2 linked regions of the Cricetulus griseus genome follow. The protein of the gene in region 2 purifies or fractionates together with the protein of the main gene of each other region. This does not show direct contact. Links are inferred from orthologs where the notes say so. Each region holds a gene or a part of one and is shown on either strand. Other genes may lie near its edges.

Region 1 (3,814 bases), on a different chromosome or scaffold from region 2:
GAGTTACAGAGATCCACCTGTGTCCAACACACACACACACACACACACACACACACACACACACACACACACACACTCCACTCTCCCACCCCCTACTCACAGCACTGTGGTTACAGATATGTGCCATAATGCCCAGTTTTTATATGGATGATGTTAATCCAGACTCAGCAGCAAGCACTTTGCCCACTGAGCCATCTCCCCACTCCCAGACCTAGTCAAGAGATTCTCAGTGTCTATTCTGTGTTACTGAATAGAAAAGTATATTCATGATCAAATAACCATAAATCAAATTATACTTTTATAATGTCCTGCTCATGTTTTTCTAACAAGATAGAAATATATCAATGCACTACAAGTACAGATTTTATAATATGTCATGACTCTGAATTGGCTTTTAAGAGTTTTTCACAATTAAAAACACATTTTAAAAATTATATTAAGGGGGGGAACCTGTAAACTCTATAACCTTCATCCCGGAAAAATGACTAAATACAAGGGAAAATATGAGTTTAAGGTGATAACTTGAAAGCAAATCCAGAGCTGCCAGCAGCTGGTTACCTTTTGGCACTGGTTGACAGTTTGGCAGCTGTCTTGCTGGATAGCTTCCCCTCCTTTTTCTTGGGCTGAACTTGCTCTCGCTCAGGTTCTTGCTGAACACTCTCCCGTTGATCTCCATCGGAACTTCCTCCACTAGTGCTTGGACTGTCGTCAACTCTCTGTGCCTCAGTGGACATTTTAGATCCTGGATTAAAGATGAAACATCATTTAGTCTGCTGTGGGAGGGACTACAACAAGGTACATCAAGAATGGAGAGAAAATGAGACTACAAAACAAAAGTAAAATTAGGTATAAAAATGGGAGTTGCCTAATTACAAAACAAATAACTCTGGGGGTTGCCAAAGGTTTTCTTCTACGAATTTATGTAAAATGTAGACACAAATATTGGTAGCACTTTTATTCACAAGACAAAAAGTGGAAACAATTCAAATGTTCTCCACCTAGTGGGTAACACGTGGTTCATCCACATGACAATATACCTAAGCCACAAAAAGGAATGAAGTCCGGTATCTTCATGCTTCAGCAGGAAGACCCTGAATCTAACTGAGAGAAGCCAGTACAGCCACAAGGACCACAGACTGCACAAGCTCATTTGTAAGAAATATCTAGACAGTAAAATCCATGGGAACATAGAGACAGAGAAAAGGGAAGTGACTTTTACTGAGCAGAAACTTTCCTGTGAGTGATAATGCTCTTAAGTGGAGGTCAGAGCAGAAAAGCCTCAGCGTGGCTATGCTTTGTTTCTGTAGTTCTGAGGACAGTAACCAGTGTCCCATTGTGTAAAGCAAGTGCTCTACTCCTGAGCTACTGACAATCCCCAGGCTAAGCTGCACATTTTAAGATGGTGGAGGTATAGTTTGGGCAGAGTGCAAGTTCAGCAGAGTTCAAGCTCCAGTATATACAAAAAATGAAGGAGGCTAACTTTATAAGGTAAATTACATCTCAAAAGAACTGGCATAAGACAAACCAGAAGAGACTTGAGAGTTGGCTCAGCAGTTAAGAACACTGGCTGCTCTTGCACAGAACCTGGGCTCCATTCCCAGCTCCCTCAAGGTGGCTCACAATGGGCTGTAACTCCAGCTCCAAGGGATGACACCCTCTCTGACCTCGCTGGACACCAGACACATATGTGGTGCACAGACATACATGCAAATAAAACAATCATACACAGAAAATAAAAATAAATAAATCTTTTAAAATGAGAGAGAAAGAAGGATTGAGAGCCTAATTTTTTCAGGCTTTGGGCTAAGCACTCTGGGCTCAGTTATGAGAAGTCTGGACAGGTAAACAGACCTGCAAAGTGTCCTGGCAAGTCATCACAAAAAGGCCCAGGGCTGAGAAACAGGGGCACTGCCACGCTCACATCCAATCGATACATCCTCAGAGCTGAGCCAAGGTTAAAATCCTCTAAGCTGGGAAATTGTTTTAAGTAACCTTTGTGATAACGGAACAGAGGCCACGTGATTCCAAACAAGAACTGAGGCTTAGGAGAGTATGGGCACTGACCCAGCTCCACTAAGCAACCATGTTTCACAAGAGATAGAGACTGTACTGAGACACTGATGGATTCATTTTTTTCCCCAGTCTGGAGGAAATAGCCCTGGAGGTTGGAAATTCACTTTGCTCTGGGTTCATGCTCCTGGAGCAGCTCCGATTACCAACTCAATTTCCTCAATACCTTGATACCTAGGTAGCCGTTATAACCTAGATAGCAGACACAAAAATGCACTGAGTGAAGAGGATATCCCTTCTCCAATCTCATTCCATCATAATCAGCCCCAGTTTGATCCTTACTATCACATCCTGTCTGACCCAGCAAAGTGACAGACTCAGAACTGAACTGACAAAACCCATATCCAGATTCTACAGGGCTTCAAGCCACCAGTAACCATTCTGAGTATCATGTAGCTAAGGCTCAGATATACGTCTCTGAAAAAAAACAAGACTGCCTGTGACTATTGTCATCACCATCACCACTACCATCATCATCAAAACACACACACACACACACACACACACACACAGAGAGAGAGAGAGAGAGAGAGAGAGAGAGAGGAGAGAGAGAGAGAGAGAAGAGAAGAGAGGAGGGAGAGAGAGAGGGAGAGAGAGAGAGAGAGAGAGAGAGAGAGAGAGAGAGAGAGAGAGAGAGAGAGAGAGAGAGAGATTTATCTAAATTCCTCTTGAAAAAGACTCTTTTCGGTTACTCTTAAATTAAGACTTTGAAATAAAACTGTTCCTGATATGGTCAAAAGTATGCTTCGGTGCACACAAAAACAAAAGCCTCACTTAAAACACAATGCATTACTATCATTACCTAGTCCAAAGGTATGACCCAATAACTAATCAACATTCATCATCCTCAGTTCAACGTAGAGTTTGCTCAAAGACATGGTGGCTTCTTAACACAGGCCTTTAGCAGACTGAAAGTTTTATAGGACAAACTTTTTTTTATAAGACAATAAACACAGCAAAGGACTGGAAGAGTCAGGAAGCACAGAGATGAAGCATCAAAAGACACCACATATAGCATCACCACCCCCAGCCCTAATAGTTCCTTTGTCCAAACAGCTCTCAAACACTCACAGGAAACCAGACTGCTCCCCTACCTTCTGTAAATGGAGACCATCATTCTCCGTAGCTATGACACATTTTATGAGCAATAAAGTCACTTAATAGAATACTGAAATTTTATATCAGTATGTTTCACACCTAGCTCTACAAGTCTGAGTATATTTCTTGGGTTTTCTTCCATTTTTATTTGACTTTAAGCTTATTATTATTGGGTTTAATATTTGTATTCTTTTTCAGCTTGCTTCTTTGAGTTCAAATCTACAAAAAGTTAAAAAAAACTTGTAAGTATGTACACTATAGATGCTAGATAGAGCATATATACAGGGAAAGAAAAAGAAGCACTCTTAGGGTTAGATGTTCTAGGAGCAAAATGCTGCTGGAAAAAAAATGTAAAGAGATGTGAAAGAGTGAAAAATTGTTTTATGTATCCTAAACCTCAGGCAATCTATCACACCACATGGCAAACACAAGAGCCACAGAAAAATAGTTACCTTACACTGAAGCCACTGCTATGACTGCTATGTCAAGTCATGGCTATGTACTGAGTTAGTCATAAAACCACACACTCGGTTCAGTATTAAGTACATTTACATACACCTAATAATATGTCAACTATATAACTACTGAATAGACTACTCAATGATGTAAAATACCATAATCTGAGACTGAAATTTCTAAAACTACT
Region 2 (4,297 bases):
ACTGAATTCTGAGTCTTCCTCTCCCAACTAGCCCAACTTACTTGTGGATCTGCTCATCTGAAAGCCCTCGGGGGTTACGGATGGAGATCTGTGGCACCTCATGGGGATACTAGTGCAGAAAAGCAACATATTAAAGTGACCCACTCGAGGGACTCTCCCCTTCTTCCCTTCACATTCATGCAGAGGCCTCACCTGTACTGGGACCTGAAGCACCAGAGTAAAACAGACAAACTGCGAATCTTGGACCTCTGCGGTGGCCGGGTGCAGAGTGATAAAAATCTCCCAGGGTGAAGATCTGCAGGTGGATGAAGTGAAGACGCAGGGTGTGACTGGGCAGGGGCTTGAAAGCTCGGGAGGAGTGGGGTGAGACAGTAAAGCAGGTAGAGGGATGCTCACTGGACTTGTTCTTTTCAGGGGGAGAATTAAGGGAATAGTGTTTATGACAAACATCACCTCCGAGTCAAGGCTCACAGTACCCTAAGCCCAGATTCTGTGCAGAATCATCTCACTACGAAGACTCCTGCCCACCCCCAATTGAATACGCACCTGCCATTTCCTTTCATCACCTGTAGTTCATCCAGATAGATAGACTCTAATACTTCAACTTCAGAGGGAAGGACCCTGGAGAGTAAGGGGGAGACTGAGTCACTAATACAGTTTTCCCTGCTGAAGCCTGCCAAGGCTGATGAAGACTCACTTAAAAAACAACAACAACAACAAAAACCTACCTCAATACATTATTTGGTATTTGGTAAATTATTTGGTAAAATAGGGAAATATTTCTTTAAATTGTCAATTGGCCAGGTAGAAAGAATGGGAATTAGAATTTTAGAGTTCACCTCTGCCAACCTGAGAAAACAGATTCCCAGAGAGATGAAACAACTGACCAAGGCTTAACACAGGAGGAGGAATAGGACCAGTCAGAGCCAGGCCCTGACTTCCTGCTCAAGTTTCTACAGCTGATTATCCTTTGGTGGCTCCTCCCTGACTATCTATCTATCTATCTATCTATCTATCTATCTATCTATCTATCTATCTATCTAAACTCATTACTAACTCATTACTAACAAGGTTACCAATACTACTCCTGCCTGCCTATACTACTGTTCAGCACAGTTCCCTGTACCCTGGGTGCTGCCAATAACCTTGCCAACACTAGTCAGTCTAAGCATCCTCAAAGGATATGCCAAGATGAACAGGTTTAGGTAATCTAAAAGCTATACTGCATTAGGAGAGCTATAGGCCTTGTAGCTGATAGTAGGCAGAAACTACTTACCAGCTATATGGTCAGGTCACTTATTTTTGGAAGCCTGAGTTACACTGTCTACCACTTAGAGATAATACAACATATTCACTAGGGCTACTGTGAGACTTAAAAATTGTTTATATACAGTGCCCAAGTGTATGAGACATAGTACCTAGTCTAAGTGATCTCACCCCACCCTCAAAAGAAAAAAGAGAAGGGCATAATCTAAGTACTGTGAATACACACATGACGCTGGATTTCTAGTTAACCCAAACATCATGTCGAGTACAGGGTTTGTGGTCCTGATATAAATCAGAAGGCACACATTTAAACATACAAACAACAATTGTAATGACACTGAAGATGAGTGATTGAGTCCACAGCCCTACCCAGGTGATATATAGAAGGAGCACACCCAGTAGGAACTTTATCAGTGGTGGTTATTATGACTATTTTTTAGCATTCTTAAGCCTTACACAGAAACCTTAAAATATAAAGCTTATTATTTCACAAATAAAAACGACATTCTGGATGACACAGACTACTGCAATCACGACTACGCTCTCATGACTCAGGTGTCCCTTCATAATCTTAAGCATTTTTCCTAATAGTAAAGAGCATTAGTCTACATAGCTTTAGAAAGGAAACTACTGGCTGGCCTCCCTGAACCAAAGCAACACTGAGGTACAGCCTCAGTTACGACATCTTCAGTATTTTGCACACGTTAGGTGACCTGGGTTGTGGACGTAAGATACAGACTGGGAGAGTGATAAGGTCTTAAGTCACTGAAGGGGGTGGGAGAGGGTACTAAGATTAGAAGGCCTTAACTTATAGAGATATCCTTTGGGTTATCTAGTCTCTTGAGGTCTTACACTTAAGCAATTAATGAAAAGCAGGCCTTTATGTATATTACAAATCCCAGTGATCCTCCCAACTACTCTATGAGGTAATGCCACGCCCACTATTTTTTTTTTTTTTTTTTACAGCTGACACGGGCTCTCAGGAGCTAGCTAGTCTGGTCAGCATCATATCCAGTTAATTAAATATGAAGTGAGATCATCTTTATCTTCAAAACCCAAAGTCCTTAAAGGCTTTTGGTCTCTTCTTAAGAATGCCCGAGAGAGTAGGAGGGCTTATGTGGGGAGTTAGGCTTTTCTGACAATAGTTATAAGTGCTGTCGGGGGAAATGAGAGGAACGCATAGGCAGAAATGGACTGGGCCAAAGGGTAGGATCCTAGGGGCACGAGGGACACGAGGAGGAGGAGGACGTCCGTTCCGAGAGGCGAGAGGGTGATGAGCAGCCATCCTACAGGCCCCAGAAAGTCACATCAGGGAGAAGTGGGAGGGATAGGGCCGTAGCAGGAGGCAATTAGGTCGATAAGGCGTGGGCCCAACTGGCCAGGCCGGCGCAGACCCAGTCAGTCCCTTCTCAGGTCAGCGTCCCTCCACCCTCGTCCGCCTAGGAAAGGATGCCAGGGTTTCTGTCACCGCTCGCCCCATGATCCACCCCTCATGCCCGCAGTTCGGACGATTTGAAGCTGTTGCTAGTTCCCAGCACCAGATCCAGACAGCCAGCCAAAACCTATGACCCAAAGTTACCAGTCCTCTTCCCCGGCAGCTGCCGACGCAGACGCCGCCATGTCTTCTCCGGCTCTTAGCCGGAACCGGAAATACCTTTGGGGAAGTTAGAGACTGAAAACTAGGGCGGGGCGGGGTAAAGAAAGCTGGCGCTGTTTCTAGGCAACTGAAGACTCTAGGTCCTTTGTGGGGCCTGCTAGCCAAGCGACAGAAGTGCCCTACAAAGTGCCAATGGGCCGTTTGTGTCTGTTACACATCTCTGAGAGCTTTGTCCTTTAAACTTCTGACCGGTTCCAGGGAATAAAACTCGTAAGAGTGGGAAACTAACGAGAACAGCAACGCAGGCAGCTGGGGGGGACCCGGTTAGAGGGCCGGACCGCCAGCCCTCGGCCTGGGAAGCCTGGAGCATCTAGGTTGGGGGGAAAGTTGGGGGGACTCGGCTCGCGCCAGGAGTCAAGAGCGGCGGTGCTGGGGCGAGCCGAAGGTGTTATTAACTTGGAAGCTATAGGAGGAGCATGTGAGCGTCGCTGGTGGAGAGGGGAAAAGGGACGCGGTGTGCTGTGAACACCTAGCCTGAATGGGTGACTCCAGACGTTCTGTTTCCAAGACCTGATCATCTTTCCATCCTGATCCTGTTTTTGAGGCCTGGTTTATTGTGAAAAGGAGAAAAGGCTTAGCTGATAATGTCTATTTTTCTCCCATGTTCCAAGCCAGGCTTCCCAGATGTGTGGAACTGTTCCTGCATCTATAGCTCGTTGCCGCCGTCTTCGTTGTTGCCGTCTTCTTTCTACCTTCTGAGAGACCCTGAAACCCTTGCCATGGAAAAGTACCACGTTTTGGAGATGATTGGAGAAGGCTCTTTTGGCAGAGTGTATAAGGGCCGAAAAAAATACAGTGCTCAGGTAGTGAACAAAGATAACTTTTGAGTGGGATTTGGTGCCCCTACACCAGCAGAAACTTGGACAGAAGAGTTGCATGGTGTGTATTTCTAGGCTCTGACTCCAGCATACTTCCTATGATGTGAGGACCCTGAAATTTGATTACTTGGAGTCAGATTCCAGCCTTAGAACTAGGGACAAACTACCCAACCATTCCATGCTTCAGTTTCCCAAAACTGTACAATGGGGGATGATTGATGGGGTCTGAGGATTAAAGGTGTTTCACAATCACTCATAGTATAATGCCTGTCACCTACTAAAGACAAAAAATGTCAGTGTTCTTTGTTTTGCCTAAGAATAGATAAACCTGTGAAATCTGTTCCTCCATCTTCACATTTCCTTCTCTTTTCCCTAAATCTCACCTCGAGTCCTTTGCTTAGGTCACAAAACCTCTCCCAGAATCCATCAAAGGGCTCTATTTGGCAGTAACCGTTTCCCCCTGGTGATGGGTTGACAAAGCCAGAGTAAATCCATTACACCCTGGGGAAAGTCAAGGAGGAGGAGGTTAGCATGTGTTAGAATGCAACTAAGAGTT

The links.
Region 1: the proteins of Rnf25 (region 2) and Ube2e2 purify together in Homo sapiens (affinity purification with mass spectrometry; 3 studies listed by BioGRID and IntAct, counting the BioPlex papers as one, with this or other methods). This does not show direct contact. The link is inferred for Cricetulus griseus from reciprocal best matches to the Homo sapiens genes RNF25 and UBE2E2.

The regions. Positions count from the first base shown.
Region 1 is NW_023276807.1:175,955,866-175,959,679, forward strand, and holds part of Ube2e2 (ubiquitin-conjugating enzyme E2 E2), read right to left. Parts: intron 743-3,814; coding exon 559-742; intron 1-558.
Region 2 is NC_048595.1:427,841,154-427,845,450, forward strand, and holds the start of Rnf25 (E3 ubiquitin-protein ligase RNF25), read right to left. Parts: upstream 2,950-4,297; 5' UTR 2,887-2,949; coding exon 2,846-2,886; intron 622-2,845; coding exon 547-621; intron 407-546; coding exon 193-406; intron 110-192; coding exon 42-109; intron 1-41. Other genes in the region: Stk36 (serine/threonine-protein kinase 36), read left to right, coding at 3,643-3,726. UniProt on the Homo sapiens protein: E3 ubiquitin-protein ligase that plays a key role in the RNF14-RNF25 translation quality control pathway, a pathway that takes place when a ribosome has stalled during translation, and which promotes ubiquitination and degradation of translation factors on stalled ribosomes.